Oreochromis niloticus: one gene and its partners. The protein of the gene in region 2 interacts with the protein of the main gene of each other region in a biochemical or structural test. Links are inferred from orthologs where the notes say so. Each region holds a gene or a part of one and is shown on either strand. Other genes may lie near its edges.

The links.
Region 1: the proteins of siah1 (region 2) and pou2af1 form a complex in vitro, tested with the Homo sapiens proteins (2 studies listed by BioGRID). The link is inferred for Oreochromis niloticus from reciprocal best matches to the Homo sapiens genes SIAH1 and POU2AF1.
Region 3: the proteins of siah1 (region 2) and sncaip form a complex in vitro, tested with the Homo sapiens proteins (2 studies listed by BioGRID, with this or other methods). The link is inferred for Oreochromis niloticus from reciprocal best matches to the Homo sapiens genes SIAH1 and SNCAIP.

The regions. Positions count from the first base shown.
Region 1 is NC_031979.2:749,523-759,823, forward strand, and holds the start of pou2af1 (POU domain class 2-associating factor 1), read right to left. Parts: upstream 5,340-10,301; 5' UTR 5,198-5,339; coding exon 5,182-5,197; intron 1-5,181. UniProt on the Homo sapiens protein: Transcriptional coactivator that specifically associates with either POU2F1/OCT1 or POU2F2/OCT2. It boosts the POU2F1/OCT1 mediated promoter activity and to a lesser extent, that of POU2F2/OCT2. It recognizes the POU domains of POU2F1/OCT1 and POU2F2/OCT2.
Region 2 is NC_031972.2:63,380,710-63,391,157, forward strand, and holds the start of siah1 (E3 ubiquitin-protein ligase Siah1), read left to right. Parts: upstream 1-6,007; 5' UTR 6,008-6,185; intron 6,186-10,448. UniProt on the Homo sapiens protein: E3 ubiquitin-protein ligase that mediates ubiquitination and subsequent proteasomal degradation of target proteins.
Region 3 is NC_031977.2:31,798,488-31,809,487, forward strand, and holds the start of sncaip (synphilin-1), read left to right. Parts: upstream 1-6,073; 5' UTR 6,074-6,264; intron 6,265-11,000. UniProt on the Homo sapiens protein: Isoform 2 inhibits the ubiquitin ligase activity of SIAH1 and inhibits proteasomal degradation of target proteins. Isoform 2 inhibits autoubiquitination and proteasomal degradation of SIAH1, and thereby increases cellular levels of SIAH.

The DNA of each region.
Region 1 (10,301 bases), on a different chromosome or scaffold from region 2:
CCCTCTTAGATTCTACACGCTTGAAATATTTTTTCATAAAAGAAATATGAAATTTAATTATAATGTGTTGATTTGATCGCTGGGGTCACAAACACAAACTAAGAACAGGAAATCTGCGATCTCATGGGGAGATTCCATCAATTATTTCATAATGAAATAGTTTGAGACTCATGTTGGAGACAGAGTCTCAGATGGACTGGTGCACAGCTAAGTCAGTTCAAATGAAAAGGCATGTTCCCACAGACTGTAATGTTGATCCTGCGCCAAGACATTGTGCCATACTGAGCTTCAGGTTCTCATGTGTGCAGGTTTCTAGTTATAACATGTTGACTTGAGTCTTATCATCCCCTTCCCCACCCCAAAACTGTAGAAAAACTGCAGAAGATGAACCAGACCCAGCTGGATGTTTCTGTTATGCCTGCATATCCTCTGTTACACTGCAAACGTGGTGAGTCAGTTTACTTAGCTGGGCTTCACAACTAAGTGACTGCTGTAACTAAAAGTTCAGCTACACTTTAACAAGCAGCTCGTAGCTCAGGTACTACAAGAACAACTGAACATAAACTGCCTCCCTGTCCTCAGACCTCAGCACGCTGAGCCCCTTGTGGTGTGTGGACATCATTCAAAAATAGGTTTAGTTGGAATTAATTGGTTTCAGTTAAGAAATTCTGCAGCTTAGCAGAAATCCCCCAAATTAGTTAGACAGGCTGTATCAAGTCTTATCATTTGGGATTATTCAGCTAAGAAAGCAAATAGAGGTCAACAGATTGTGCTATGTGGAATTTGTCTCCACGCCAAGAACACGGCATAATCGGGGAGGGGGGGTACAAGCAATTCCTCCTTTACAGAAATTCCACAATCAGAAATTCCACATTTCTCTGAAAAACCATCCAGTCTGCCATCACAAAAGGACACTTTGATCATGTTTGTTCCTGTTTCTTCTCCTTTTCCCACAGTGAGAACACAGATAGAGGGAAACCTTTTTCTCTTGTCAGAATTTCCCTACAGTTACCGTCACATTTCTTTAACCTTGAGCCGGAGTTTTGATTCCTACCACTCATACTGACAGAGGACGGAGACCTCTGGTCCAGACATGTCTGTCCTCTACTTAACCCCTGTCACGAGGCTGAAGGTATCCTGACAGTATGCTACGCAGCTTCCTCTCTGAAGCTGATGGATTTACCTCCATAGGTCAGACCGGCCACATTTTCTTCTCAGAACAAACAGAACACTGTGACAGTCTGCCATGTACAGACACGTCTGTGATGCTTAACAATAGAAGGCACCGGGGGCACAAATGGCCACTGCACTGAGCCCAGCCCCTCTTCATTGTGTGTGTGTGTGTGCGTGTGCATTTTACAGTAATGATGGCAGATTTATTTAACAGTTTGTGCACTTGGGTCTAAACACAGTGGTTTTACTTGAGTACAAAGAAGTTGTATAATTAAAGTAACTGTGATGTACAGTCCCATTTGTGTATTACTGGATTACTGCTGTCGACGCACTGGGTGTTTGTACACTGTATATTTAATCATTGTTATTAATCTCTGTCTCTCTTCCACAGCATGTCTTTATCCTGTCTACCTTCTCTCACCCCAACCAATCACAGCAGATGGCCCCGCCCCTCCCTGAGCCTGGTTCTGCCGGAGGTTTCTTCCTGTTAAAAGGGAGTTTTTCCTTCCCACTGTCGCCAAGTGGTTACTCATAGGGGGTCATATGATTGTTGGGTTTTTCTCTGTATGTATTATTGTGCGATCTACTGTACAATATAAAGCGCCTTGAGGCGACTGTTGTTGTGATTTGGCGCCTTCTTTGGCAGATGTACCATGAAAGTGTTGCAACTGTCCACTAGTCTCTCACTAATCAGCTTGAAAAAGTCTTTTACGTAAAATTCATTCTGTGCCAAGATGCTTTAGTGTTTCTTGCAAAAATTACCCAAGAACAAGTCAGTAGAATATAAATCAGAGTTTGTTAGGTATAGAAGTCACTTTGGTAACCCTGCAATTCTGCTTTACGTACTATTCGCTGGTGAAATTGCTAATGTGCTAAACAATTCAATGTTAAAAGGTGAATTTCTAGTTAAACTCTAGTTTTTAAATAGATGGTATAATATCACCTGCAACCACTTTTCTAATTAAATCAGTGATCAAAAGGTGCTCCGTCCCCCAGCAGCAAAGCAGCCCTACACCAGCACATTTCCATCATCTACTTCATACTTGGTTGTTTTCTTCCGTTTACACCAGTTTCCTTTAAGGGGTCTTCACAGTGGTGTCCCTAGCTTCCTTTTCTGTCACACCAACCCTCTCCGTGTCCCCCTTCACTACATCCATGAACCTCCAAAGTGTTTAACCTGAGCCGTCCCTCTGATATTCTGAACTGTAATCCTGTCCATCCTGCTCACTCCCGGTGACAATCTTACAAAATCTTCAGCTCCCCTGTCTTTCTGTCCGTGCCACGGTTTCCAAACCATACATCACAGCAGGTCTTGCTGCCATGTTGTAAACCTTCCTTTTCATTCTTGCTGCTATTCCACAGTCACAAATCAGCCCTGACACTCATCTCCACCCACTCCATCCTCCCCGCTCGCTCTTCTTCACCTCTTTTGTGCACTTGCCATTACTTTAGATGGCTGAACCCAGGTATTTAGACTCATCCATCTTCACTATCTACTGCTCCCCTGTCATTCACACACATGTATTCTGTCTCGCTTGTGCTGGCTGTCATTCCTCTTCTTTCCAGAGCATATTTCCACCTCTCCAGGTCCCTTTCCACCACTCTCACGTCTCGTGTCATCAACACTCTCAAAGTTGGACCTCAAATAAAGGTCCGATCTTTATCTGGAACTTTCCACTTTTCATCCTCCTCACAGCTGTGCTCACTTCCTCTTTATCAATTCTTTGAATTTGATAATTAACTAATTGTCCTCTGTCTGCCTCTCTCATTGTCTTTATTCATCACTCTCTTTGTACATTTCCATATCTATGCTGACTCGAAGCTGCTGCACATCTTTTCTAGCTTAGTTTCTTAGCCATTCTTCATACTTGGTGCTGTTAAAAAGCTGTACCAGACAAATGTACCTGTGATTTATCTGCACGGAGCATTAAAATATCCCCCTCTCCATGTTACAGTTTTTCTTGACCTGCTTAAAGAAATCACTCAGTTTTCATCACGACTATCTCAGCAGAGCAGAGGACACCTCCCGGAAATGTGTTAACCTTTCCTTATTGGAGTGACACATTCCACACAGCCTTTTGAAAAACATTTTTCACAGATGTGATTGAAGCAGAATGTGTCACTCTGACCACGAGCGCCGCTGTTCAGGCCTGAGTTTGCTGTGATGCAGTGGTCAACTCAATCAAGAAAAACTGTAAAATGTGTCTGTTTGAGTTCACAGTTACAACCTCCGCTTTGATATTTTTATGTTAAAAAAGCTCATTAAACAGCACATTATACACATCCTAAGTGTATAATGTGCTGTTTAATTAGCTTTTTTCAACTGAAATTTACATTTTAGACAGAAACTCTAGATTTCACTCTGAGTCACTTTGCTGATCAAACTCTGCGAGAGAAGGATGTCAGTAACACAAAGTAACATCATCATTGCTTTAAGTGACACTTACTGAAAATTATGTGACCGTTAGTTATTGTATTTTCTTGGTATACAATTGGATTGAACATGTATTACTAGCCTTGTTATGCCCTCATATGGACTCTCACAGATGAATCCATCCAAGTAAAGACTGATGCGGTTTGGCCCAGACCAACTGTATCATTTGGGAATGGGGGAATTCCCCTCAGCTGATTTATTGCCAGAGGCATTCCCCAGTGGACAGTCCTGCACTGGGTTGTGCAGTTTGTTCCTTGTGTCAACAAGTTTAAAATGTATGTTTTTCACACAATTTTGTGACGTGAAACTTTTAATAGTTGGATAAAGACTGCATGACTTTCCCTTTTCTGCGCTGAACAAGGGTTAATGGCTTGTTCTCAGTTCTTGGCCTGATCTGCAGATCATGGATTGAGCAACTGCAGAATGTTGTACCAAAGCGAGGGAAGAAATGAGAAACAGATCTGTTGTTGTGGGAGGTTGGTGACTGACATTGTAACACAGCCAAGAGAAACAGAGGAGCTGTATGAACAAGAGTGAGGTGTGGTCGCTAACATGGGAGTTCTTTTCTACCTTTCGTTACATATAAGTCATTATTCAAATGGAAGAGTTTTCTACAAAGATTAACTGGTAACACAGAAAATTAAATTATGGAACATATGTATCTACATGTGTGAAAATGTGAAGCCAACACACAAAATGCTCAGTGCCAACAGAAGGAAATAAATGTTACAAGTTCAAATTAATGGCTGTATCTGTCAACTGAAGCACGGTTGAGTGGATGATGTTGTCTTTTACTACTATCTGTTGTAGACAATCACACATGAGTGCACACGGACAAACAATCACCATGGCACAGGCACACAGACTCAATCAACACAAAAGAGGAAGCTGCACAGCTGTGCGATGTTTTACTGTGCTGGGTGCCTGCTGCCATTTTGCATATCAAGATTACACACCAATGGCAACACTCAGCCAGCGTTCAAAAGGCAATCTTCCGCTTTCCGAAAGAGCTGCTTCTGACAAAGTTCACAACAGGAAAAGATCTTTCCTTCTGTTTGCACTATTCAAAATAAAAAACAATTCTGAATAGAAAAGGAAGACTTTACTTCAACTAGACAATAACGAATTAGCAGCGAATGGACAATGTTGAGTTGACGCGCTTTGATCATTTGTAAGCTAAAAATGAATTTTATTAAAGATTAACTACAAATGTGACAGACATGAAAACCATTTAGTAACACTATACTGGATAATTTACAAAAATGACAAAGGAAGTTGCTTTTTAAAAAAAATGTCTACAAATGAATTAAAACTATTCAAAAAGACACGTCGTATTTTCAGTGTAAGGAAAAAAATATCATTCAGAGCTCCTGGGATTATATCCTCCTGTCATTAGTAAAAATAACTGTAATGTACACTTCACAGACTGCTTTTTAAAACTTTTCTCATCCATAACTTTGATGAAGCACATTTAATTCTGCAAACCTCTCAAGTTGTTGCCCCTTAACATAATTATTCATTCATATATGAAGTCAGTATATACTGAGGAAACAGCAACAATATAGTGTACTTACATTTCTCCCAGTGCATGCTGCCTATCTGGTTAATATCAGATAGTTAAACTGAAGAAAATCAAAGTGGCGCGTCAACTGACGTGCTTTATAACAGCTAGAAGCAGGCTAGCAATCCCCTGGGATGTCATAGCTTCGCTAACCACAACTGCATCTGTTTCACAGTTGGTAATGTTTTAGTTGAATCATACCTGCTACAGCTATTACATCTGAAAGACAGAAACACACAGGCCCAGGTCAAAAAGAACTGAAGATGAGAGAGCAAGCGCATAAACAACATTTAAATAACCCATAACTAATTAAAATACTCTCAATGAAAGTAGTGCAACAGACTTCTTTCCCTGTTAGTCTTCTCTCAACAAGCAGACCTAATTTTGGTTAATCTGAAGATGTTATTCTGGCTGTCACTCACAGAAGCTGTCATTACACATTCAGAAAACTTTAATTAGAAAACCCAGCGATGAATGACTTTTTCAGCGTACAATGGGAGCTTTGAGATCAACTCATGGATGGATGGATGTATTATTGTAGGGTCTACCTTACAATGTAAAGCATCTTGAAGTGACTTGTTGTGATTTGGCGCTGTATAAATAAAATTGAATTGAATTGAATTGAATTGAATTGAATTGAATGGTTGGATGGATGGATGGATGGATGGATGGATGGATGCATGGATGCATGGATGGATGGACGGACGGACGGACGGACGGACGGATGGATGGATGGATGCATGGATGGATGGATGGATGGACGGACGGACGGTTGGATGGATGGATGGATGGATGGATGGACGGACGGACGGACGGACGGACGGATGGATGGACAGATGGATGGATGGATGGATGGATGCATGGATGGATGGATGGATGGATGGATGGATGCATGGATGGATGGATGGATGGACGGACGGACGGACGGTTGGATGGATGGATGGATGGATGGATGCATGGATGGATGGATGCATGGATGGATGGATGGATGGATGGATGGATGGATGCATGGATGCATGGATGGATGGATGGTTGGATGGATGGATGGTTGGATGCATGGATGGATGGATGGATGCATGGATGGATGGATGGTTGGATGGATGGATGGTTGGATGCATGGATGGATGGTTGGATGCATGGATGGATGGTTGGATGCATGGATGGATGGATCCCCAACGATGACACAAAGAGTGAACTTCAACCTTCTTTGCTTGCTAATGAAAATTGTTCCAAATGTAGCCATATGAAGCACAGTGCTACTTATTCATATGGTTGAGGCGGTTATACAGTTGCACATAGAGGCACTGTGAATGCGCCAACATGACTGTGTACAAGAATGTATGAATCTGAACACATAATGTCACTTCTACTACAGGTGCTATTTATGTGACAGTCTCTACATGTACTACATGAAGGAGTTGCTCTATAATTTGTATTGAGTTATAGAATACCGTATGTCATAGAGAATGGCATCCTATTCTAGACTGTCTTTCTTCAGCATTTCTAGCTGTGTGAGAAAATCACATTTCTCTTTTCTCACAACTTGGATACAATTTGTGAAACCTTTGACAAACTTTTTGCAGTTGTTTCCCATATTCCCAGTTTTTAGCCCCCAGTGACTTTATCTCACCCCCTTGAGCATGTGAGGTTAAATTAACCATAAGATAGTATTAGAATAACTCCTGACTCCAAAGTAAACACAGTCAAACTGATTTACATCCCAAGTAATTTTTTTTCCAAAGCAGTCCTTTTTTTTTCTTTCCAAAACATACAGGTTAAGGTCAAAGGGATAGAATTTCTTGAAACATGGGAAGATTTGATCAGGAATTGTTCACGAATGTCATCACAGTGAAAGTAAATCCTGTATTTCTAGGTTCACCAGTGCAGCGGAGCCAATGTAGCCGGATCTGTCTGGCTGCCATGAAACATCAAATAAATAGATTTGCCAGTGCTGACCTGTTTGGGCATGAGGACTGAGAGTTAGTCCAGCCTCCAGTGTAAACAGAAGACTTGGATAAGAGACAACTGGTTTTAAAAACCGTGGCCAGAACAAATGAGGCAAGCAAACATTAATGAGCTGGTTAGAAATCACACCAAGGTGTCTGCAGTGAACAAGAGGACTTGCCTGCTTGACGGGCCAGAGACGACCTTTTTTTCTCTGTTTTTTTCATCATTGTACAACAGCAGCGTACTCTTATCTGTTCGTGTCACATTATATGTGATTCAAAAGACATTCACTCTAAATGGATCCTGGCTGTATACTTTGAGGGTAGCTCTCTTATTTTTGTTTCTCAATATGCCTCAGTGTGTTCGACAGGAAGATAAGGAATAAAAATGTTCTGTAGCCACATTTAAGGTGGAACACCTTGAGTTAGTCAGACACAGCACAAGTGGATTTGGGTTGCAAAGTAGCTTGCAGATGTGGCAGCTGTGGGCAGGCTAAAGCAGATTTAATAAGATGCCCTACAAGGAATTTTGCATTTGGTGGGAAAGAGTATGACTGGCACTGAGATCAGCTGACCTACTGGGATTACAGCAAAGTTTGACTTGATAATGATAATGCTTAATTTATTTACTCTGAGTAGAAAGTAATGTTTATTGTCCTGAGCAACATATGCTGGAATGAACTGCAATGGATTTTCCCCTTGACTACACATAGTAAACCACGTGCACGTGCTGCTCATCGTGTATGTGATCACATTCTTCTTCTCTTATAACAATTTTAAAGTTACAGTAATCAGTGTTAGCCCACGCTGCTTTTTTTATATGGCAGCCTATTTGATCAGAGAACGTGCAGCCGATGAGATGGCTGCAGAGAAGCTTGCAGAGGTGGGGTTAGGGGCAAGCAAAAAAATAAGATCATCATCAGGTTATTGATATCATGAAGAGCTTAAATATTGGAAATGCCTCATAAAGTATCAAAGGTTCAGTTCTAATGACCAAAACTGAGGATTAATAGGCAAGATTAATAGAAAAGGTCATAACTCTAGACTCAGTTCTAACCCTAGTGTGATTCCTGAGGTTTGAAATTGTGAGGTCACAGAAGTTAAAAAAAAAAAACCTAATACATTTAAAGGCAGGCTACATCACTTAACAAGCAAAGTTTGATGAGTAAAATTCTGGTATCCTATGAGACTAAGAGCTAATTATTTGTGCCTGCACCCATAAATGTAGCTGCTAACAAACCCTGCTTGCATTACCTGATACTGAGGCTTCTAAATGAGGGAAAGGATTAGTGATTTCATGGTGGCCATCTTTTAAATCTAGTTTACAGTTTTGACTCAGGTACTGTTTTAGGGTTAGGCCTAGCTTGACCCTTAGTTTTAACCTATAAACCCACAGTTCCCGAATTTCACTTCAGCAAAATACAAAACTTTTAATGGTTAGCAATGGTTAGTCTGGACTTCTTTAAGTAAAGAATTCCAGACGCTTTTCTTTCCAAGCTCCTTAGACTAGGATGACCTGGATGACTGAGAACCCTCACAGACATTACACTGAGAATATTAAAAATAATTAGCAGAGTCATATTTTGTTAACAACAAGATAATGAGATGAAGACTGAAAGCAAATGACACAAAATGACATTATTACTGTATTACTCTTATTTATGTATTTGATACAGTCATGGTGAAACAGGAAGTAAAATTAGACAAATACAATAAAACATGACATGTTACAGTTTGAAATGTTAACTTTTTATGCCAGAACTGGATGTGCTACAATATGAGTCTTTACCATCAAAAGACCCAATGCTAAATGCAAAGCTAACACCCTACCTCCTGCTGCCACACTCGCCCCTCCCAGCCAGTCGATATTTGCTTTCCCTGGAAAACAGCATCGCTGCTCAAAAACAAACACCTTCAGGCTCTCGTTTCCCTGTAAACTGCAGCATTTTGCCAAGATTGTCATTTGGCTGTCTCAAAGTGACCTTGAAATCATACACACAAACAATCACGACAGCGGGAATTTGATTTCTTTATTTATTTAGTGAGCAGGATGAAATTGTTCAGCTTCCCTGTGAAAAAGCATTATGATAATGCTGCTAAAGTAGAACAGAGTGACAGTGAAGTGTATTTGTTGGACATGAACTGCGCTTCACATGTTAAAGTAAATGGATTGTTTACTTCATTTCCATACATAGTGCATGGATACCTGTTCCAGGCAGGTGTGAGTTAAATGTAGAAAACAGAAAAGAAAACCTCTGTGAGCTCAGACTGTGTTCAGAGCACAGTCGACATGCAGCAGGCAGTTATGGTGTTCACAGTCATTTCATTGTGGTTAACTTCCTCTTTTGGAGTTTAGTCACTGGTTACAGTGCAAGCATTTAAAACTGAATCAGGGTACACACTCAGAATAAACATTTATTTGTATTACATTTATATTCTGTTGTAAATATTACATATATTTTGTCACCTCCAAAGGCCACACATATTATATAGATTATATAGATTTCAACATGCTTTTCTTTGTAAAGCATCAAAATCTCTGACTGGCTTCGTGTTTTTGAGAACTCAGAACAGGAAGTATATTGGGGTATATACTTGTTCCTTGGTTATTTTCATACTTTTGCCCAACAAAAAGCTTTGAGCCTGACACAAAGCAATTTTCTTTTTAAAAATCTCTTCATCAGAAATCATTTTAATTGTAAGGCATGCTTTTTTCTATATCTATATAGTTTTTTCTTGTGTTTTTACATGGATATATCCTGTGTAGTCACTGTCAAATGCTCATTCCACAGCAGGAAACATCTGTTAATGTGGATATTTTATTTTAAAGTTTACCAAACAAGGGTCAAAATATTTCATTAGAAAAAAACACACGTTTGTATGCATACATAACAAAGAAATATTTACCCAGCCAAAATTTATTAATTCACCATCTAATGCAACTAAAGGCTAAAAACTACAGTATTTGCTTCTGAATTGAAGTAGAATACAAAGAAAAAGTACAAAAAGAAAGTATTGGATTACACTACACTATTGTGTTGCTGCAAAACGGTGTGCAGTCAGCTGCAAAAATCTGGAGGCTAAATACAGTGCTATGCATGACCCTGAAACCGGTCTGAGTTAGTCTATCTAGCAGCACAAATGGGAAACACCTGCATGTACTTCACAGTTCACTGAATAGCAACAC
Region 2 (10,448 bases):
GAAAATTTAGAGTCAGAAAACATCTGAATGAATATTAAAAGTTCATATTCTTTGAATCACTGAATGACTCAAATGTGTGATCCCTCCACTTGGATCCACACAGTTTAAAAAGTTTACATCTCTGAGCTTTGAAAGACACAGTGTTGGAAAGAGAAGAACGATGGCGACGTTTTGAGGGTAAAATGATGGCTGTAGGGCAAACACTGTGGACCCAGCAGCAGTTGAAAGGGAAGTGTTTAAAATGAATCTTGGCACAGTGAGAGAGAGAGCTTGTTAAGCAGGCAGGTGTGAGCCTGGTTGCTATAGTGACTGCACCCAATGGCCCCATACACACGCAGACATGCACCTCACTTTTGCTGCTTAAAATGAACAGAAAAGTCAGGCCGAAACAAATCGCTCCCAAATGAAAAGTATAGGTCGTATTGACAAAATTCTTTCACCGTGAGCGGCAGCAATGTCTAGTCTACCTAATTCTCAGTTTTCATGCCTGTGGAGTTTATTATATGGACGTGGTGACAGTGTAAAAACACCATGCTCTTCTGATTTTCAAACGAACCTTCTGAGCCATTTTAACATTAGAGTCTATGGAGGAGTTGGAGGGAGGAGGCTGTGCATTGGTGACATTTATGAAAGAACCATAACACCTAGTACAATAGTAAACACATTGGATGAAAGAGGACAGCGATGGCTACGTTTTGAGGGTAAAATCATACCTGTAGAGCAAACGCTGCGGACACAGCAGCAGTTTTAAAAAATATTTTAAGATTAATTTTTTCGCTCCTCTCACTCTGGCAGTTGAGCTGTCTCACTCTAGCCCCAACATTCCGTCCCATACACACCCATTATAAACTCTGAAACGGCTGTAAAATCATCATGAAACTTAAACTGGAACTGAAGAAAAAGTATAATAGATATTGAAAAGATAAATACAAGTTGAATAGTTGAATGTCTTGTCTTCGTTTTAAAGTTTGAATGGTGGATCTATGTCAACGTATCTGGAAGTACATACAGTTTAAAGAGGAGTAAGTTGAAGGAGAATTTGAAGGGTCTCCCCATTGAAATACATGGGAAATTTTTGCTGAAAAAAGTTGAATAATTTTAAAAATATAAATGTTATAAATGAGAAAAATACAAGCACACTTGTCCAAAAGAAGAGGAATCTAATGGTGTTTGAATGGTTTTTCTAAGTTGAACGGTTTTGAAGGAGATAGATGCACAAAAACGTACGGAATATGATATAATAATAATAATAATAATAACTAGAAAGTGCATTTTCTGAAGAAACTGCAGTGTGAATGCTTGAATCTGAATGTATGCACTGAAATGAATTAATTGCTGAATTTTAAGTTAAAAAATAATAATGTTGAATGAGCTGGAAAATGCAGAGTTTTTAACCTGAAAACAAAAGTGCAGAACTTTTGAAAGCTGATGTTCACACAGAAGAAGTTGGAAAATAGCTGAAAAGTTTTTAAATTAAAATTTCGAAAACCTAAGAAATGAGAACAGAAAATTTAGAGTCAGAAAACATCTGAATGAATATTAAAAGGTCATATTCTTTGAATCACTGAATGACTAAAGTGTAATCCCTCCACTTGGATCCACACAGTTTTAAAGGTTTACATCTCTGAGCTTTGAAAGACTTGCTGTTGGAAAGAGAACAACGATGGCTTCGTTTTGAGGGTAAAATGATGGCTGTAGAGCAAACACTGTGGACACAGCAGCAGTTGAAAGACAAGTGTTTAAGATGAATCTTGGCACAGTGAGAGACAGAGCTCGTTAGGCAGGCAGGTGTGAGCCTGGTTGCTATAGTGACTGCACCCAATGGCTCAGTACACACGCACACAGACATGCACCTCACTTTTGCTGCTTAAAATGAACAGAAAAGTCAGGCCGAAACAAATCCTTCCCAAATTAAAAGTACAGGTCCTATTGACGAAATTCTTTCACCGTGAGCGGCAGCAATGTCCAGTCTACCTAATTCTCAGTTTTCATGCCTGTGGAGTTTATTATATGGACGTGGTGACAGTGTAAAGACACCATGCTCTTCTGATTTTCAAACGAACCTTCTGAGCCATTTTAACATTAGAGTCTATGGAGGAGTTGGAGGGAGGAGGCTGTGCTTTGGTGACATTTATGAAAGAACCATAACACCTAGTACAATAGTAAACACATTGGATGAAAGAGGACAGCGATGGCTACGTTTTGAGGGTAAAATCAGACCTGTAGAGCAAACGCTGCGGACACAGCAGCAGTTTTAAAAAAGATTTTAGGATTAATTTTTTTGCTCCTCTCACTCTGGCAGTTGAGCTGTCTCACTCTAGCCCCAACATTCCGTCCCATACACACCCATTATAAACTCTGAAACGGGTGAAAAAACATCATGAAACTTAAACTGGAACTGAAGATAAAGTATAATAGATATTGAAAAGATGAATAGAAGTTGAATAGTTGAATGTCTTGGCTTCGTTTTAAAGTTTGAATGGTGGTCCTATGTCAACGTATGTGGAAGTAGATACAGTTTAAAGAGGAGTGAGTTGAAGAAGAATTTGAAGGGTCTCCCCATTGAAATACATGGGAAATTTTTGTTGAAAAAAGTTAAATAATTTTAAAAATATAAATGTTAAAAATGAGAAAAGTAGAAGCAGTCATGTCCTAAAGAAGAGGAATCTAACGGTGTTTGAATGGTTTTTCTAAGTTGAACGGTTTTGAAGGAGATACAGTACAAAAAACGTACGGAATCTATAATAAAATAGAATAAAGATTAGAAGAACAATACTGTGAATGCTTTTACAAGCATTCACACTAATAAAGATTACAACAACAATACTGTGAATGCTTTTACAAGCATTCACACTAATAAAGATTACAACAACAATACTGTGAATGCTTTTACAAGCATTCACACTAATAAAGATTACAACAACAATACTGTGAATGCTTTTACAAGCATTCACACTAATAATGACATTAATCCACTGTAAAGCTATTTGCTAGCCACCAGATTCATGACTGCAGCGGCTGGTGAACTGTTGACATGAAATTCGTGATGTTCAGTGATATGACACTGAATTTCTTAAAGCTTCTTGGCTTAAGACAACTTGTATGCACTTTCACTGTGTCACAGTTCACTTATCAATACACATGCAACATCCATTTCTTATGATACATTTTGAACTTTTGCAAATCCACAAAGTTTAACCAGCACATGGGTTGGGATGGTGAGGGGCTGCAGAGGTGTGTGCCTGACATGGCCAAATTAAGTCTATCCTCTTGTAAAGACATCATACAGAGCTGAGAGTAAAAAAAAAAAAACTACCTGAAATTGAGTTTCGAGCAGTTTGAAGTCTGACTTTTTTAGCTCATGAGGATTTTTTATAACTTATACTTAAGTTTAATATTAGTAAACATGACTGTCTACATGAAACATTTCACAAATCACAATTAAAGAAAACTGAAGAAAAATAAAAAATAAAAGGGAATTAATTTCACACAAATTTGTTTTACATTAACCTTTGACATTCAGCTAACTTTTGCCTGCTGTTAGCTCGACATTTTACACTCATTTACACTATGATCCATATCTATGCCCAATTTTGTATCACCGCTCAACCTAACATGTATGCCTATGGATTGTGGGAGGAAACCCGAGTCCTTTCACAGGGAGTACATGCAAACTCCAACACAGGAAGGCCCCACCTGGCTGGCAGATTAAATCCTATAATGCCCTTGCTGTGAAGCAACATCACCTCTAACCACCACCCCTTCACGTTTACCATACAGACATAAGAGTGGTATTAATCTTCTTATCCAAGTCCTGCCAAGCCAGTAAATACGTGTATTTCTCCCAGATGTCCTTTCAGTGGTTTAACTAGACAAGCAGGCATGGAAGGTATATTGTAAACAATTAAATCTTCAGACAAACATAAGAGAGAAAGTTCTTGCACCACAGGTGGCATGAGAGTAGCAGCAGCATCAAAGAGACAATGCTTCAAACACCATCCGTGCTTCCAGTCTATGCAATGTATTTGCACTTTCTAGTTCGCTCATTCCAGTCAGTCAACATGAGCTGGAATTTAGAGGATGGGAGTTTAACTCCAGCCCGGTCAAGGTTTTCCACTTGACTGGGCTTCCACTCAGCAGCAAACAAGTTTTCGGAGAGGATCTTGGCCAATGCACAGCTACTAGCTTGCTTTGATTTCAGCATAACAATCTACTGCCAAACAGCATTATGTCTGGAATGTGCTGATGATTCTGCCAGCTCTCACTCACCCATTTCCTCTCCCTCGTTTCTTTTAACACTCCCCCCTTTCCCACATACCCCTCCCTTCCCATCCTCTGTCTCCATACTCTTCTCCCATTTGCATTACATTCATTATCCTTGTCTCACAACTTCCTTCCTCCCTTTCTCTCAAACTCTATTTTCTGCCTCCCCTCTCCTCTTCAAACTATCTCTTCCTTCCACATTTCTTTTCAGAGTCTTCCCTCCAATCTTTTCTCATTCTCACTTTGCTAAAGAAAAAAAACTGTGCATGTCGTTATGTCCGACCAAGAAATTCAAATTCCTCTAGCATACCAGCACAGCTTAACATTCTCATTGGTTTGGATCGCCCCACTTCCTCTTGTCTTCCTCCCCAGCCCCTCTCCCACATTCTCCTTGGTGCTCTCTCTGTAGTTTCATTCCTTTTTATTTGCTTGCTCTATTCCTCAAATTAATATAAAGAAGTGGGCTTAATGAGTGTCTCCAATGCATTCACAATTGGTAGATCGTTTTTTTCCTAGCTAAATGATGAAAAAAGGGACATCCTCATAATTGACCAAATTCAGACATTTGACATCCCACTGTCTTTTATTGTCTCTTTATAAAAATGTCATACCCTCTTTATATTTCTCCAGTACTCCGTATTTTCTCTTGAGTTCTGTTTCTACAGTAACTGAGAACTGAGCAGAGATACTCTTTTGTGGTTTTTGTTTAGAGAAGAAGTGTGCATGTGATGTATATGTGTCCAAAGTAAGGTGTCATATTTAAATGCATGTGTGATACCGTAAATGTGAGAAGTTGTGTCTGCTGTGCATGCAATGATGGTGTACTTCATATATTTACAAAGAAAATGTGTTGCACGCTGCCCGGTTACAGTAGAAGGCTTACAGCCACTGTTCACAGGAGGACAGCAGGATTATTTACAAAAGTCTGCTCTTTCTCTTACTTTTCTTGCTGTCTGAGTGTCTCTCAGCCTTCTGTTTGCTCCTGCTGCAGCTTGCCTACTGGGACAACGCACTTACATAACCAATCATTCTCTGTAATCCCAGTCTGTGCAGCAGCTCCTCCCACCCCCACCTCACACTACTATTTAGCTCCCCCTCCTACCCCTCATCCCTCCTGATGGTAGGTGGCTGTGTGTGTGTGTGTGTGTGGGGGGGGTGGGGGGGCATGGTGATGGCTTTCCTTATGTCCAGATTGCTATGAAAGAAACAACATGACCTCTAAATCTTAATCCCAGCCAGTTACATGTGTCCAGCATCAATACTGACCTCAATCTCTGCTATACCTGTCCAAAGTCTCTTTTTAAAACCCGTTGTTATTTTTTTTTTTCATTAAAACTGCTGATTTAAATGTCCAATTTCTAAGGATTTATCTGTGGGACTTGTTGGTTTAAGCATATGTGCAGTTTCCTTCACTTACATTATAGCGGAGAGGCAAGAGATCAAATTCAGTACAGATACAAGATGCAGGCGAATAGTATAATGAAGTGAAACTAAGATGAGAACCTGCTAGACGAGCCTTGATTTTAAGGAGTACAAGTGTGAGCATGCGTTGATACTCGTTGTGAACGGTGAGAATATTTTCATTTTACAGTGTGAAATAGCTTTAAAAGATATGAAGTAAATTGTGTGGGATGCATTCATATATGCGTATATTTATTTTCGTATTATTGTTTTTATTATAAAATTGAACCATTTAGAGCAACCTGCAATTCGTGCAAGGCGCGCTCCCGTGGCAAACTTAACTGTGCGCGCTCTGGAGCGGCTGGTACTTAACGCCTGCCGTCTCGTCTCTGTTCCAGGAGCTGTGCCAATGTGTACATCGAGCAAACGAGAGAACGACGACAGAGAGGGATCCTGTGTCTGTCCTGGTGCCACACATTCACCTGTTTCTCCGTGGTGAACTGAAGGACAGTTCTTTCGAGGTAAGCGGGTGTGCCGCAGAGAGTGAAACATCAGATTTTCGAGTGGCGTGTGTGTCGGTGAAAACAACAGCCCCGTTGTAGCAGACGCTAGCTTCCTTCGTTAGCGCAGTGCTAATAATGCTGGCGGGTAGCTAGCCTACTGTCCGGCTTGTTTGCTGATCTTTTAAACGCCTCTTGCCTGCAGTGGTTAACGGGTTGACATGCGTAGCGACTAAACGTTGTTGTTAACGTTTACTAACTGGTGTGAGTGGGGAAAAATGGAAGGGTACCGCTTCTTAGCATGTTCACACACCAGCTAAGCTAACAAACTCACCGACTAAGCTAGCTAGTAAGCTGTGGGATACTGCTTTACGGCAAGACGAGGCCTGTGTGCCTCGTCTTGCACACAGGAAACTGTTTGCTAGGATACGCCGTTGTCTGCCTTGCAAAGACAAGGCCATTTTGCTTTCAAAGTAGGTTAGACCAGGTCAACAGAAACTCGTCGTGGCATTGTTTTGTGTAGCACTGTTGCTGGCATAACGGCTGTAGAGGAAGTGATGACTAATGTTTACTCCAAGTAAAGGTTACAGTCGGAGTCGGCGTGTTTGACTTGTCTATTATAAGACTAATGTCAGCTCCTGGTCGTTATTGATTATTAAAGGGCTCTAATCGCCGTTGTTACATGTTCACTGCAGTTTGCATTCAACGAGCAGTTGTTGAGCGGATCACGTAGTCCTTGACGTGGACACCTGTAGATGAGTTATGAATTAGGCTGGGGACAGATGCACAGTGGTATTACAATATGACCTTTCGCTGAAGTTGTATTAAAAAAGCAAACCTCCATATTGATCACAGTTGTTACCCTACTTTACAATACCTCTGCTCAGGCTGGATGGATCTAAGCCGAGGTCAATAAAATAATAAAGCCATACCACTGTTTATGTAGCACTTTGCATACAGACTCGGAGTCCATAGCTCCTCACAGAGTAAGACGAAATAAAACGAAAATAAATTTACAAATTAAATGAACCTAGACAAAGGGATGCACAAGTTGTAAAACTCTGGGATTGTATTACAAAAAAAACAATGTGGCTGTTTAATTCTTTCAGCTTTTGACAAATTAAATACTCTCTAAACACAGACCTCCAGCCTCCGAAGTGCTGGACTTGTGTGTCATGCTTGAAACAGTATTTGAGATTTTACAGTAAGATTACACGGCAGATGTCAGTCTGGTCAGGTGTAGGGTCTCATTATCTTGAGATGCAAATTATTGGAAGTACATGATCTGCCCTGCAGTCGGAAAAATATGGTCTTTTCAGCATGTTATAAACATGAGAGATGCAGGTGTTGATTGGGAGGTGGGAGTCTGTTCCATTGCCTGTTAGTATTTGGAATTGCAATACAGGTTTTAATAATTGCAAATTGTATTTAAATATCTTCTTTTAGGATGTGGTTGATTTTAGTTCACTATAATTAATCTCCCCTCTCCTTGAAAACCAGTTATTGGGCTGCATTTAGAGGTTAGGTTAGGTACAAGTTCTGCATTGTACCTTAAAAACACTTTTTTACACACTGAAATTTTGCTTATTTTGCTGCAGACCACAAAATCAGAGTGAACCTTTTTCTTTCAGAGACCTTACACACCCATATGTATGCACTCAGCTGTTTTAACTGGTTGATAAAGTTTGTCCAGCTATAACGTGTCTTTAGTCAGTCTAACTGCATTTGGGAGGGAAAAGAAATACAGCATGTACACATGTATGTACGATCAGTCTTGGTTTCTGCTGATTGCCACAGCTAAGTGTTGGTTGTATGTAATGCAGCAGTAGAGATGAACTTGTTTTGACCCAATGGTTTTCCATAGCTTTCAGAGAGGCTTAGTCACTTGGTAGTGTAGCCCCAGGGTGGTTTTTATATGTGGATGAAAGCTGACAGATGCCAAGATGAAAGGATTTATGTCACTGATAGAAAGACTCATCCTTGTGAAATCCTAAAGCTCATTAAAATGCAAGAAAATAAAAGCTTGCTTTTTCATCTTTCATTTTACAGACTGTATTTAAGAGGTTACATCTGGAATGGGTTTGTTTATTCTGACCAATGTAAAATATTGTTAAATATTTCTTTTATCAAATCTCTAATGCAGTATTTGCTCTCAGTGGAATAGCACTTGGAGTTAAAGGCAGGAAATGTCTGAACCATCTGACCACTATGCAGCAACCAGCCATTGTTAAAACGGTGACAGAAGTGGATGTGTGGCCAATCCCTCCTGCCTTGCATGCACACGCGCTTGTTAAGGAAAAAGACTACAAACTCTATGGGATTTTTTTTTTTTTTTTGTTTTTGTTTTTTGATGACCAAGGAAACAACCTGCAGCTTATTGTGTTAGCTTACCCGGCGAGGGTTCTGCTTGTTGGCTCAGAAAATTCTCAGATGCTGGTGCTTTGTTTTACTGTACTCATCATCTTAGACACGACAGTGCCAGGTTTCCACCACAATACGTTTGGTAATCAAACATGATGATGACTGTCGTTGTGTGTAACCCTCAGCTTCAGCTCGACATAAGAAGGAATTTCCTTTTTAATTCTGCCAGTTGTCTTTAGGGACAGTCTTTTGTATTTGACTTCTGAACTGAGGATAACGTAACCACGTATGTGTGCTCACGGGCAATGTTGTAGGGGCACATACTGCTTGTTCTGATGGTTAAACATATCTTCACTGTGAATTCTAGTTTCCCACAGACTTTCCTCAGGTAACCCTCCCAGGTATGTTTGCCAGCACATTCCTGCACTCAGTATACTTGAAAGGTCAATTGCTGCTGACTGCCTTACCTCAGTACTTTTACTTGCAGTGTTTCCCAAATGACATAAGTATGTGCAGACCTCATTTTGCTTTCATGCTGTTGTCAGGCTGTATTATGTTATGATGCTTCCTGTGCTTGGGAAGACTGTCCCTGGTTTCCCGTGGTGTTGTCTTTCTGGGAAACACTGGTTTGTTTCATCACTGTGCTTGAATCTTAAAAAGGTGGTGTGCATTTGATGTGCCTCTTCTCTTTCCAGCAGTAGACCCTTTTGCTGTTAGTTCTTGGCCAGTTGGTTTAATTAGCATCACATTCCACCCATTACCTTGAAAGCTTAGCTGGCTCGTCTTGTATTTGAAATTCAAAATTCATTTGGTCCATCTGAGCTGCCTGTCTACTTCTGTTGCTGCTCCTGCTGTCACCTGACTACCTGTGTGCTTGTGCATGCATGTGTGGTGTCATATGACACAAGAGACTGGAAATTTATTTAAAAAAAATATCTTTATCTTTGCCAGTCTTACAGCAAGGGTGGACCTGAGATGTATACCAAGTTGTCCTTTTGACTAATTACATGTGGAGTTTCACAATAACTGTGATTTTTATGTTGAGGTGTGTGAAGGCAACTCTGAATCTCTCTTTAGATTTTTGCATCTCTTACTGTGCCGGCACAACTTTAGCAGCCGGTGTTGAAAAAAATGACAAGAGTGACAGCTGTTCTTGTCCAACCTAATACTGGCGGTGTGTGAATGTGAGAAAGACAGCAGTGAGTCATCGGCTCACTAACAGTGAGGTAATTCTAGATCTGCTACTAATGCCAAAGGGAGTCCCTGCTTGTTTTATCTCTGTGTATATTTCTATACTAGATGCTAACACACAAGATGGGTAAGTGTGTCTGTGTGGTTGGTTTTTCCTCTGCCTTGATATCCCTGTTCTGTGTGGCTTCTCCATGGTAACAAGCTGCTAGGCTGCATTGTTCCTAAGTTGTTTTTCCTGCCATGGAAAAGGGCCAACTGTTGACTGGGTCTGGATTTTGAAATCAGTCTATTCCATTCCTGTAGCACTGTGAAATCAAACCGTAGTTGATTGGATACTACTACTACTACTACTACTACTACTACTACTACTACTACTACTACTACTACTACTAATAATAATAATAATAGTTATTGTTATTATTGTTATGAAGAAGCCGCCTGTGGCAGTCAGACTGTACACTGGCAGAAGTGAGGTGTAATAGCAATCCGATGGGTCATGTCAAATTTTTCAGCAGCCTGAATGTGTTAGCATTAAGTGAGATTATTAAGAATGCACAGTGACAGCCTGCTGTTAGTTCACCTATGCAAGAGAGCATCTTGGAACAATTGCACACACAATCAACCAAGTTATGTGAACATTGCTTAAAGGCTAAAAGGAACCATTAGCCAACTGCCTGCTTTGCGTGTTCATCAGTGCAATCATTTTTGTCTGAGGTTTTTTTTTTTTTTTTT
Region 3 (11,000 bases), on a different chromosome or scaffold from region 2:
GAAGGAAAAAGACACCGAGAGACACAACACAGACTCGGTGCTCCACTTTTTAAATAATAGCTCCGGTTATTAAAATAAGTTCATTATTAGGATACTAGATATTAATAGTCAGAAATTTTTAGAAGTAAAAGCGGTGTTTACATAGGCAGGTTTCAAAGGTAAGAAAAATATGGTTATTTTAAGAGCACTGGGAACAATCTGTGTGTTGTGTGAACTTGATGTTTCTGCATTTCTGTAAATGCTAACTTTAACTCATCATTGTCCTTTTCTTGCTTTCTTATTTTTCTGAATCTTCGAAAAATTAAAGGAAAAGATTTGGACACATCTGGTCAAAAAATCCAATAAAGGTCACATTTCTGCACATTATTCGTCTCCACCTTTATTAATTCAATTCTTGTTCAATTCTTCAAGATTCATTATTACCATTGTCAGAACAATTAATAATATTTGTTTGATATATTATCTACAATTTTATTTTCGCATTTTCTAAAGGACTTTTAAACAGTTATCAAAGCCTCTCAGCGCGGCTAATGTAAATCGACTCGGCTTGTCCAGCTCCACTCTTTCTCAGTTACATAGATACATAGCTTTGATTGTTCAAATTGCAGTTGTTGGACCTCAAAATGGTCCAAAGGAAAAGAAAAACAGCAACAACACGTCCCCCCTTCTTCAATTTCAATTTCTATGTTTCTACATGAGAAACACTGAATTAAAGCCTCTGACTATTTTGTCTCCAGCTTTGAGCAGTTTCTCTCACTCAGTCCCTTTTGCCTAAAACTCAAAGGCAAACTCTGTTCAAACCCTGACCTAGCCCAGTCATCCTAGGATTTTCCCCCCTTATTTAACTTATTATTTTGTTTATTGATAACATTATTATTATGGTAATTTCGCTGTGCTTTTCATTTTAATCATGTTGTTTATGTGGGTTTTGTCTTTTGTTCTTGTGTTTTTGGGGGGACTTGGGATCTTAATACGTTTACCTACTTTACTACCTAATGTACGTTTACTGGAAAACACTTTTTGTAAACTCTTGTTTATAAATAAAAAACGTTTGACATTATTTTCAATGCCATGAAATCTTTTAGATATTATTTCAAATTCTTTTGAAAATGTGTATTATTCTTGCCTTGCACCTTAGTGAATGTTATGACTTTAAGCAGCGTTGCTCCAACTGCCAGTTTAACATGAGTTGCGACCAAGGCCAACTTTGATAAAGCACAGAGGACTGAGACGAGGCAATGGTGGAGGTCTGGTCTTTTTTACTACGAACACTCTTCAATCACATACAATACCACAGTGCCACCTGCGGGTGGGAGGTAGTAATAACTGCTGCTTATTACAATATACCACATCCCTCCTTTCCGAGATAAAGATACAACCTCTTAACTCCAATATCTTGTAACATGAATGTACCCTTTAAACCGTAGGAACATTATCAATATTATATTCATGGAACATTAGGTCAAGCACACCTTAAATTGCCTATCATTTGAACAATGCAACTACATGCCAGTGCAAAGTTTTGAAACAGACGAACACGTGACAAATTGGATGAGACATGTCAGAATGAACATATGAAACATGACATATTTCGCTCTAATCCAACAGGACAGTTATCTGACATGTACAAAACAACTCAGGTACAGGGTAGAGCGACTTCCAGTTTCCAAATCACTTAGTCTCTATACCTGGCAGGGCGTATTATTGCTCGGCCACTGCGTGTGTAGCATGTGGGTGTATTGTCCATACTTGCAGGACGAGGGTGTTGTGGGGTGTCACTTGCTGGTGGCGCAACTGGCTCTTGGGTGTGAACAGACAGATCATCTGGGTCCATGGATGTGTCCTTAAACAGACTTGGGTGTATTTTCCTCAGATGTCTCCTGTTCCGCCTGAGCACCTCACCCTCTGGTGTTTGCACAGCGTAGGAGCGTGGTTCCTCTCGCCGATGTGCTACAACAGCTGGCTCCCAACCGCGCCGTGTTTGCATGTGCACAGTATCGCCTGAGGTCAAAACAGGCAATGGTCTTGCATGCTGATCAAAGTGGTATTTCCGCTTTGACTGCAGTCCACGCACCTTATCTGGAATGTTCTGTGGGGTTGACTGTCTCAACACAGCACTGGCGCATGGCAGTGTGCTGCGGAGAACCCGTCCCATCAACATTTGTGCAGGTGACACACTCAGTCCTGTGACTGGAGTGTTCCTCAGAGATAACAGCACTAGATGTGGATCTGTTCCAGTTCGCGCCGCTTTTTTAAGTGCATGTTTAACAGTCTTTATGGCTCGCTCCGCCATTCCATTTGAAGAAGGAAAGCCGGGACTGGAGAAAGTTAGCTTTATCTCCCAGGATGCTGCAAACGATCTCATCTCGTAGCTGGCAAATGGAACATGATCGCTCACTATCTCTTTGGGAATTCCGTGTCTTGCGAAGACTGATTTCATCTTCTGAATCACAGAGTGTGCCGTTTTGTCAGGTAAGTTAAGAACTTCTGGGTATTTGGATAAATAATCAACTAACAAAAGATATGGCTGACCGTTCAGTTCGAAGATGTCCGCTCCGATTTTCATCCATGGCAGCTCTGGAATCTGATGTGGAATAAGCGGCTCAGCCTGGTTCTGTGGCTGCATTTGCTGGCATTGTTCACACTTCTCAAGCATAGTCTCTATGTCGTGCGACATGCCCGGCCAGTACAGTACTCTTCTTGCTCTGGCTTTTGTGCGCTGTACACCTTGGTGAGCGAAATGCAACTTCTCCAGGATCACTTGTCTGAAGCTTTGGGGTATTACAATCTTGTCCCCTATCATAATAATGTCATCGTGGATACTGATGTTGTTTCTCATAGGCCAGTAGCTGTGGAGTGTTCTGTCTAAACTCTTCCTTCTGGCTGGCCATCCGTTGAGGTGCCTTTCACGCACAGCTTGTAGCACGCTATCTGCTGCAACTGCCGTTCTCAGGCTGCTCAGTGTTTTTTCACTCAACGCTGCTGTGGCCTCCAGAGCATACACAACTCTTTCTTCATTTGTGTCTTCACTCACATTCTCGTTGTCACTAGTGGTTGTGGCTCGTGAAAGTGCATCGGCTATGAACATGTCTTTGCCGGGGGTGTATGTGACGGTGAGATCATATCTCTGCAATTGCAGCAGCATTCCTTGTAACCTTGCTGGTGCCTTGCATAGCGGCTTACGCATTATCGCCTCCAGGGGTTTATGATCAGACTGCACGGTTACTGGTCTTCCATAGACATACTGGTGGAATCGTTTAGCGGCAAACACAATGGCTAGCAGCTCCTTTTCTATTTGTGCATACCTTTTTTCTGTGTCTGTGAGTGCTCGTGACGCATAGCACACAGGTTGCCCTTCTTGTAATAGGCATGCGCCCAGCCCATCTTTTGAAGAATCGGCCTGCAATGTTAAGGGTTTCTTGTGGTCATAAAATCTCAACACTGGTGCTTGTGTGAGCGTCGCCTTGAGCATCTGTAGCGCTGCTGTGTGGTGCGGCTGCCAGTGCCACGCTGTGTCCTTTTTGAGTAGCTGTCTTAAAGGTGCTGTGAGTGATGCTTCATTTTGAATGTACTGTGCCAAAAACTTCGTCATTCCCAGCAGACGCTGAAGACTTTGTTTGTCTTCCGGAGTCGGCATGTCAACAATAGCTTTGATCTTTGAAGCATCTGCTTTCTGCCCAGCTGCTGTGATGATATGGCCCATGTATTTCACCGTGTCGACTTTGAACTGAATTTTGTCCTTGTTAAACTTCACGTTAGCTGTTCTTGCTTTCTCCATGACCTTCTGCAGGATCTCATCGTGTTCGTGCTCTGATGTAGCTGCAATGATCATATCATCTGCAATGATAAATACACCAGGAATGCTGCCGAAAGTCTCGCAATTCTTTTGTTGAAAAACCTCGCTGGCGGATTTGATCCCGAATGGGAGCCGGAGGAAGCGATACCGGCCCCAAGGTGTATTAAAGGTACACAGCTTCGATGACGGCTCGTCCAGCTTGATCTGCCAGTATCCGTCTTTTTCATCCAATATGGTGAAGATGGATTTTCCTGCTAGCTTGCTTCGAACGTCCTCGTGTGTGGGAATGGAGTAGTGCTGGCGTTTAACTGCTTGGTTCAGATCACAAGGGTCCAAACACACCCTTAGTGTTCCGTTCTTCTTCTGTGTGGCGACAAGACTGTTGACCCAATCTGTGGGCTCATTGACAGGCGTTATGACATCTCTGTTCTGTAAGTCCTGTAGCGTCTGCTTCAGCGGGTCCATTATGGAGAGGGGCACGTTCCTGCATGCATGAATCACAGGTGTTGCGTTTGCGTCAGTGTGTATGTGATGGACTCCAGGGAACTCACCCAAGCCTGTGAACACATCAGCATACATCTCCACAAGCTCTTCCTTGGTAGAAGGTGGTTTGGCTGGTTTCGGTACAGCGGATGGTAAGGCAAGGGCTTCAACTCGCTTCACCAGATGCAGCTCCTCACAAGCTCGCCCACCTAGGATCGGTTTATCTGCATGGTCCGACACAAGAAAATCAAACACAGCCCTGTGCTTCCTTGCTTCACACTCAAGAGACACCACACCATCTACATGTATGCGGGCCCCACCAAAAGCTATGAGTGCCGTCTTCGTGGGCTGTAACCGAGGCATCCCTGGTAACTTGTTGTAAACTGATCTGGGGAGCACATTTGCGTCCGCGCCTGTGTCTAGCTTGAAGGTGACTGATGCGTCCCCGATTGTTACACTTTCGTGCCACCTTCCAGTTTGGTGCTTGTCACTGCACACCATACCTATGTACAGTGAGTCCCCATCAGTCTCAATGTTATTAATAGTCTTTGTTTTCTTGTAATTTCTACTTTTCTCTGCGCCCACTCTGCATACTTTTGAAAAATGGTTATTTTTCCCACACCTGTGGCATGTTGCCCCATAAGCTGGACACTGTCGGGGCGCGTGTTTGTTGCCGCATTTGTAACAAGCCGTTTGCTTGTCGTTGCTCGGTTTGTTTTTACTGTGTCCTGATTTAATGTATCCTGGCGTTTTCCTTAATGCATGTACTGACGTGTCTTGGGGTGCAGTTGTTGACTGCATAGCCTGAATCTGTGACTTGGCCACCTCTGCTGATCTGCATATTTCTATCGTCTTGCGCAGTGTGAGGTCGTTGTCACGAAGTAGTCTCTCTTTTAGTCTGGTATCATTTATGCTGAACACCAACTTGTCCCTGATCATGTCATCTTCATTGACCCCAAACTCGCAACTTTTACTTTTCTGACGGAGTTCTGTGACATATCTGTCCACTGTTACACCTGCTGACATTGGGTATGACCAGAATGTATGGCGCTCAAAAACAACGTTCTTTTGTGGACTACAGTATTCCTTAAACGCTTTCAGAATGTCCTCCATAGCTAGCGCGTCTCCGGCCGGGGTTACAGTGAGTGTGTTATACACTTCAAGTGCCTCCTCGCCGATAGTGTGGAGAAGAATGGCTGTTTTAACCTTTTCATCTTTCTCCAGCGCACCCGTAGCAGTCATATACAGTCTGAATCTTTGTTCCCACCTGCGCCAGGTCTCAGATAAATTGCCGGTGAGCAGTAGCGGCGATGGTGGCTTGAATTGCTCCATGCCGTTAGCACCGTCCACCGTTAGCTAATCCACAGCTAGCTTACTCACGTCGCGGTCGGTCCCTGCTCACACGGTCCTGCCAACTTCTGACACCATGTTATGACTTTAAGCAGCGTTGCTCCAACTGCCAGTTTAACATGAGTTGCGACCAAGGCCAACTTTGATAAAGCACAGAGGACTGAGACGAGGCAATGGTGGAGGTCTGGTCTTTTTTACTACGAACACTCTTCAATCACATACAATACCACAGTGCCACCTGCGGGTGGGAGGTAGTAATAACTGCTGCTTATTACAATATACCACAGTGAATAAGCTACCCCGCTGCACAACAGTACGAGTAAAAGAAAACACAAACACGATTTATTTATTTATTTATTTATTTTTGCTTTATTTAGCCTGAAAATCCAAAAGAAAGTGAAGTTTTTCTTTTCTCCACACTACGTGGTCCTGGGAAATTTCCTCAGAGTGAGCGCTCATCCTGTTTCCGGCGCTTTGTGCTGCCCATATGTCAAAGTCTTTGTGCTTTTCAAGACAGAGAGGCGACAGAAGGGAAAAAAACAGCTGGATCCAACGACCATCCAGCTAGCGTTACCACTAGCAGCAACCAGCTCCTCAAGCCTGCTAACCCCCCTCGGCTGCCTGACTTCCAAAAGGTACCGTGTCTGAAAACTGTCCGTTAACCGAGAGCTAACGGCTCCTTATTCCGACCGCCTTATCTTTTACCTGAGCTTTCTCTTTGACCCAATTTTCCAACTGCCAGCCTGGCTAGCCTGTTAGCTTCCACATTAGCTTCTTTAGATGCTGATTAGCTAGCTAGCTTAGCTGATTAGCCTCCTGCTGCTTGAGCAGGTATCAGAGGATTAAACAAGCTGTCAGCAAGAATCATAGGAGCACACTCGCCTCCCATCCTTTGTTGTCATCTATAAAGCAGAAAGCATAGGGCTCTGTTGGCGTCTTTAAGTCTGCTTCATACTAACTGTCCTTTTAAATACATTTTACTTTTATCTGCTTTTAAAGTGTTACCATACTACATGTACTTTTTTCATTTAAAGTATGCAAGTAGTGCTTTCTGATTGGATTAATTGTTGTCTAGTGCGAAGTATTCCTTTTGGGTATAGAAGAAAATGAAGCAGGAATCACATAAACACTGATCTCAGATGTTAATTTGACTTTTGTCTCATTTTTGTCTTTGCAACATAAATTCTATAATGATACTCAACAAAACAAAAACCTCACGGTAGTGATGTTTCGCTAATTACATGCACATCTTGAGTTAATCTGTATTTCAAATGAATCTTTCTCGATATTTGCATATTTTAAAGCTTTTGTGTTTAATTGCAACCAGCTGATTTCATTGATCTGATTACGTATTTAATGCTGTTTCTGTACAACGTGAAATACAGCTGCTGAGCAGAAGTCTTGGTTTGTTACACTTAAAGTGTGAAGACAATCTTCTTTTCTGAGGTGTTGAAATCTGCAGATTTTTGATAGATTTACTCAGTTTTTACTGGAAAAAATAGCTGTTATCTATCAGACTGCTTCCAGCTAATATTAAGGCCAGAATAGGTAAAGTAACCACCTGTCAAATCAAACATACGAGGCTACTTGTCGTGGAAACCTCTTGTGAATAAGTGAGCACTTGAAAGTAGCATTTATTTCTCTGGTGCAAACACTGGTTGAGGAGCTGAATGGCTCCTGTAACCAGAAAGTCCCACAGCAGTCCCAGCGGAGCACTGGTTAAACACCAAAGTGTTCCTAGCTTGACGAAATGTGCGTTTTGAGGGTGAGCTGGTACGGAGAGATAACTCCCTTTACTGTAGGAGGTTTTCTGAGAGGCATCCTGGTCACATGTCCAAACCATTTCAACTGGCTCCTTCCACAGACTCTAGGTCAGACTCTAAATGGCTTGTTTAAGCAGCTTGTTTGAGTGAGAGAAGATGAACTGGATGCCCTGATAAAGATAAATAATGAACCATGAATGATGCCCAGTCCAAGAATAAAAATAGGGTGCTGATATTAGCTGTTCCTCCTTAATTGGGTAATCTATCATCTATTTTTTATTTTCTACTGCTCATCGTCTCCCCAGGTAGCATCCATTTAGTCAGCTGTGTCATGGGACTTATTGTTATATGCTGTGGCTATCATTGCACTTTCTTTTGTCAGTGTGGGTTTTCGACTGCATGGACTTACTTTGGATATTATGATTGTAATCCAGGTTTTGAATGTCGTTCTGTATGCTGTCATTTAAATTTAACTTGGTGAGCTCTGAAGAAACTCCGTGTCTCGATTCTGTCTGATTTACAGCTTTATCTTGCAACCTGTGTTTGGCAGGGCTCAGCTGACAGCGGCGCTTGAACCCAACAACCTCACGATGAGTTCAGGGTTTTAGAGGTGCTGTGTGCATTCCCCGCTCCCAGTGGTCGTTAGATCACTGCTTCCATTTCTATTTTTACACTAGTTCAACAAACAAGTCAGAACATGTAAATAAGGGAGACTTTGAGATGATGGAAGGTGGATTTTAGTTTCACTGATTTCCATGGGAAATGCGAAGTAGCATGCAGTAAATTTCTAATTACACTTTGAGGAAAGAATAATCTCCCATCCTTGTTTCTTGTCTTTCGTCCAAAACAACGCTTCATCTCTGATTATTTTTGTGTCTTGCTGCCTGGAAGGATTTGGACTCGTCAGCTGTTCACATAAACAGAGTGAGCAGACGTTGTCCTCCTTCCTTTTCTTTTCTTTAAAAGTTCTATGTTATTTTTGATGTCGGGTTTCGAAGCCTAAACTGTTGTTATCAAGGATATGCAGGCTCGACTCTTTCTCAAAGCTGCAATCAGAGGTTTTTTTATTTTGACCCGTTGACTCCCACGCAGTCTGAAAACAGCTCCAGTCTTACACGGACGCACCACAGTGTGTTGCTTTCTGAACATCTTGGACTTCCATGACTGGACGTTTGTTCTTCTCAAAACATAAAGAAATCTCTAAGCGTAGTCTTAATGTGTGGCCAAAGAAACAGACACATTTCTATTATTGCCTTGAAAATGACCATATGAATTTTAAATTACTTCTTGCTATATTTTTCTCTGAAAGCAATGTACAAGGAAAAAAATGTTAGTAATCAAAGATGAGAAAGTTCGGTGGTAGAGTAGGGGTTAAAGCTTCTTTAAGGCGAGGCATGGCACAGCGGCACACAGTAACTTATTATATATGTGAGAAAATTGACGATTTTTCAGTTTGGTTCTAAATGTAGATAGTTGTAAATGATCTCACATCAACAGGCACCATGATCCCGAAAGAAAGAGCCAAAGAAATGAACTGTTCCCTCAGAACATCTGGATCTTATTGTAGGTACACCACCTGATGACGTGAGAGGTCTCACAGTCTGACTCCACTGTAGCCATGGTGTTATTTTAGGTTCTTGTGATCCTCTCATGACTAATTCTTCCATCACTGATTAAGCTGCAGATTTCTTGCAAATAATGGGGATAACGGGCAATCAGTTTTTTTAATTTTCATTTTTTATTTCTAATTTGTGTGTGTAGATATTTTTTAACATCAGCACAAATTTAGTCTACAAAGAAATTTTGCCGCTTTTTTTGACAGCCACCTTTGTAACAATTTGGGAGTTATTGTAGCTGTTGTTTTGAAGCCTCTTTCTAAATGTGCATACATTTCATTGGTCTTGTGTGTATAAAATTCCACCTATAGCCAAATAAGACCGTTAAATAAACAAACACAAAAAATGTTGACTTAGTTTGAGAATGAGGTAAAGAAAAATAACTACCCGTCCCAGTTGCAAGTTATAAAGCACTGATCAAATGGCACGCTGCTTCAGATGAGAAGGATGATGGTAGAAATCTGCTGTGCTGCTTTAAATCATATTTGTCCAGTTCCAGTTTATTTATGTAAACTTGGAGGGTTTTTTTCCTGTCATACAAAAGATGGAGTCATGAGTTCTATAGGGTTTCATGTGGTGCAGAGAGCAATGCAGTTATACATGGTTACATTTCTATTACTATACAGATAATAACTGATTTTCTTTAACTATTAAGTCAGGGAGAAAATCCATTACTGAAGCTACAGGCATGTCTTGTAATTTTTGACTTCAAAACTCGAACAAAACTGAGGTCACTGTATTTGGCCCTAAAAAATTCCAAAATACTGTCTAACCTGATACTCTGGGTGGCATTATTGCGTCCTCCTGTTGTAATGTGAGTCATTTTTGACCAGCATATGTTCTTTAACTTGCATACTGAAATCACATATAGGACTGTCATCTTTCATCTGTGCAATACTGCTAAGTATTACCAGCTCCCAGCTTGGGTTTAAAAAAAAATGTATTTTTTACTTTAAAATTATGCTTAAAACTTTACTTTTTAAGAAAATCTATATAAGGTTCAGGTGAACATGAACCATGGGATATAAAGGGGAATTTGGTGACTGCTGTTGTCAGTTGATGCTGTATAAATACATTTGCATTGAACTCAATAATGAGCCAAGGAACATTTCAAGAAGTGTATTTACCTCCATCTTTACAATAACGACTGAGAGAGATACACCCACTCCCACGCAGCTGAAACTGAACCTCAACAGTATACGTGTGCCGCACAACGTGGCAACATTGACTTGCTATTGCTGTTTGGGTATTTGTGTGAAGGAGTGGGCCACTGGGTGTTCAGTGAAATCTCCTTCTTATACTGTATAATGTGTCTGTCTTTTGATGTCTCATCTTTTCTTCAGCACATCTTACTTTCAATTCTAAGAAGTATATTTTTCACTTTTTGGCAGTTTTTGGTAGTTATTTTGTAAGTGGGAAATAGGGCTGTGCGATATGACCAAAATCTCATATCCCGATATTAAGACATCTATCGTCCGATAACGATATAAATCACAAAAATGTAACATTTTCTGTAAAATATGTGAATCTCGGGCAGCTCGACTTGCGGGAAGTGTTTCCAGCTGCGCGTCATGTAGCTGGAGTCGAGTGTTTTAACCGATGCATGAAACTATACATTTTTAGACATAAGTGGTAACGGCCGCCGTTTTCTTTGTGAGTATTTATTACACAGCGTGCTGCGGGGAAAAGCCTGTTCTAACGTTTGAGTCTAAGGTTTATTTTTTAGCACCTGGCGGCTCTTGTTTTGCTTCTCATCTGTAAATAATCTGCTCTTTCACGTGATTGAGTTTATTTTGAAAAGTCTCAACAGGATCTTGAGCTTTATTGGGAAGGGTTTATGTGGAACATAAACAAGCGGACACGCGATGGTGTTACCGTCGTTGTTGCTAACCACAATGTTGTCGTGCGCTTGTCCGTCCGTAGTGTGGTTATAATAATTATAAGAGAGAGAGAGAAATTAAGAAATTAATATAGCCACTACAGTGACCATCA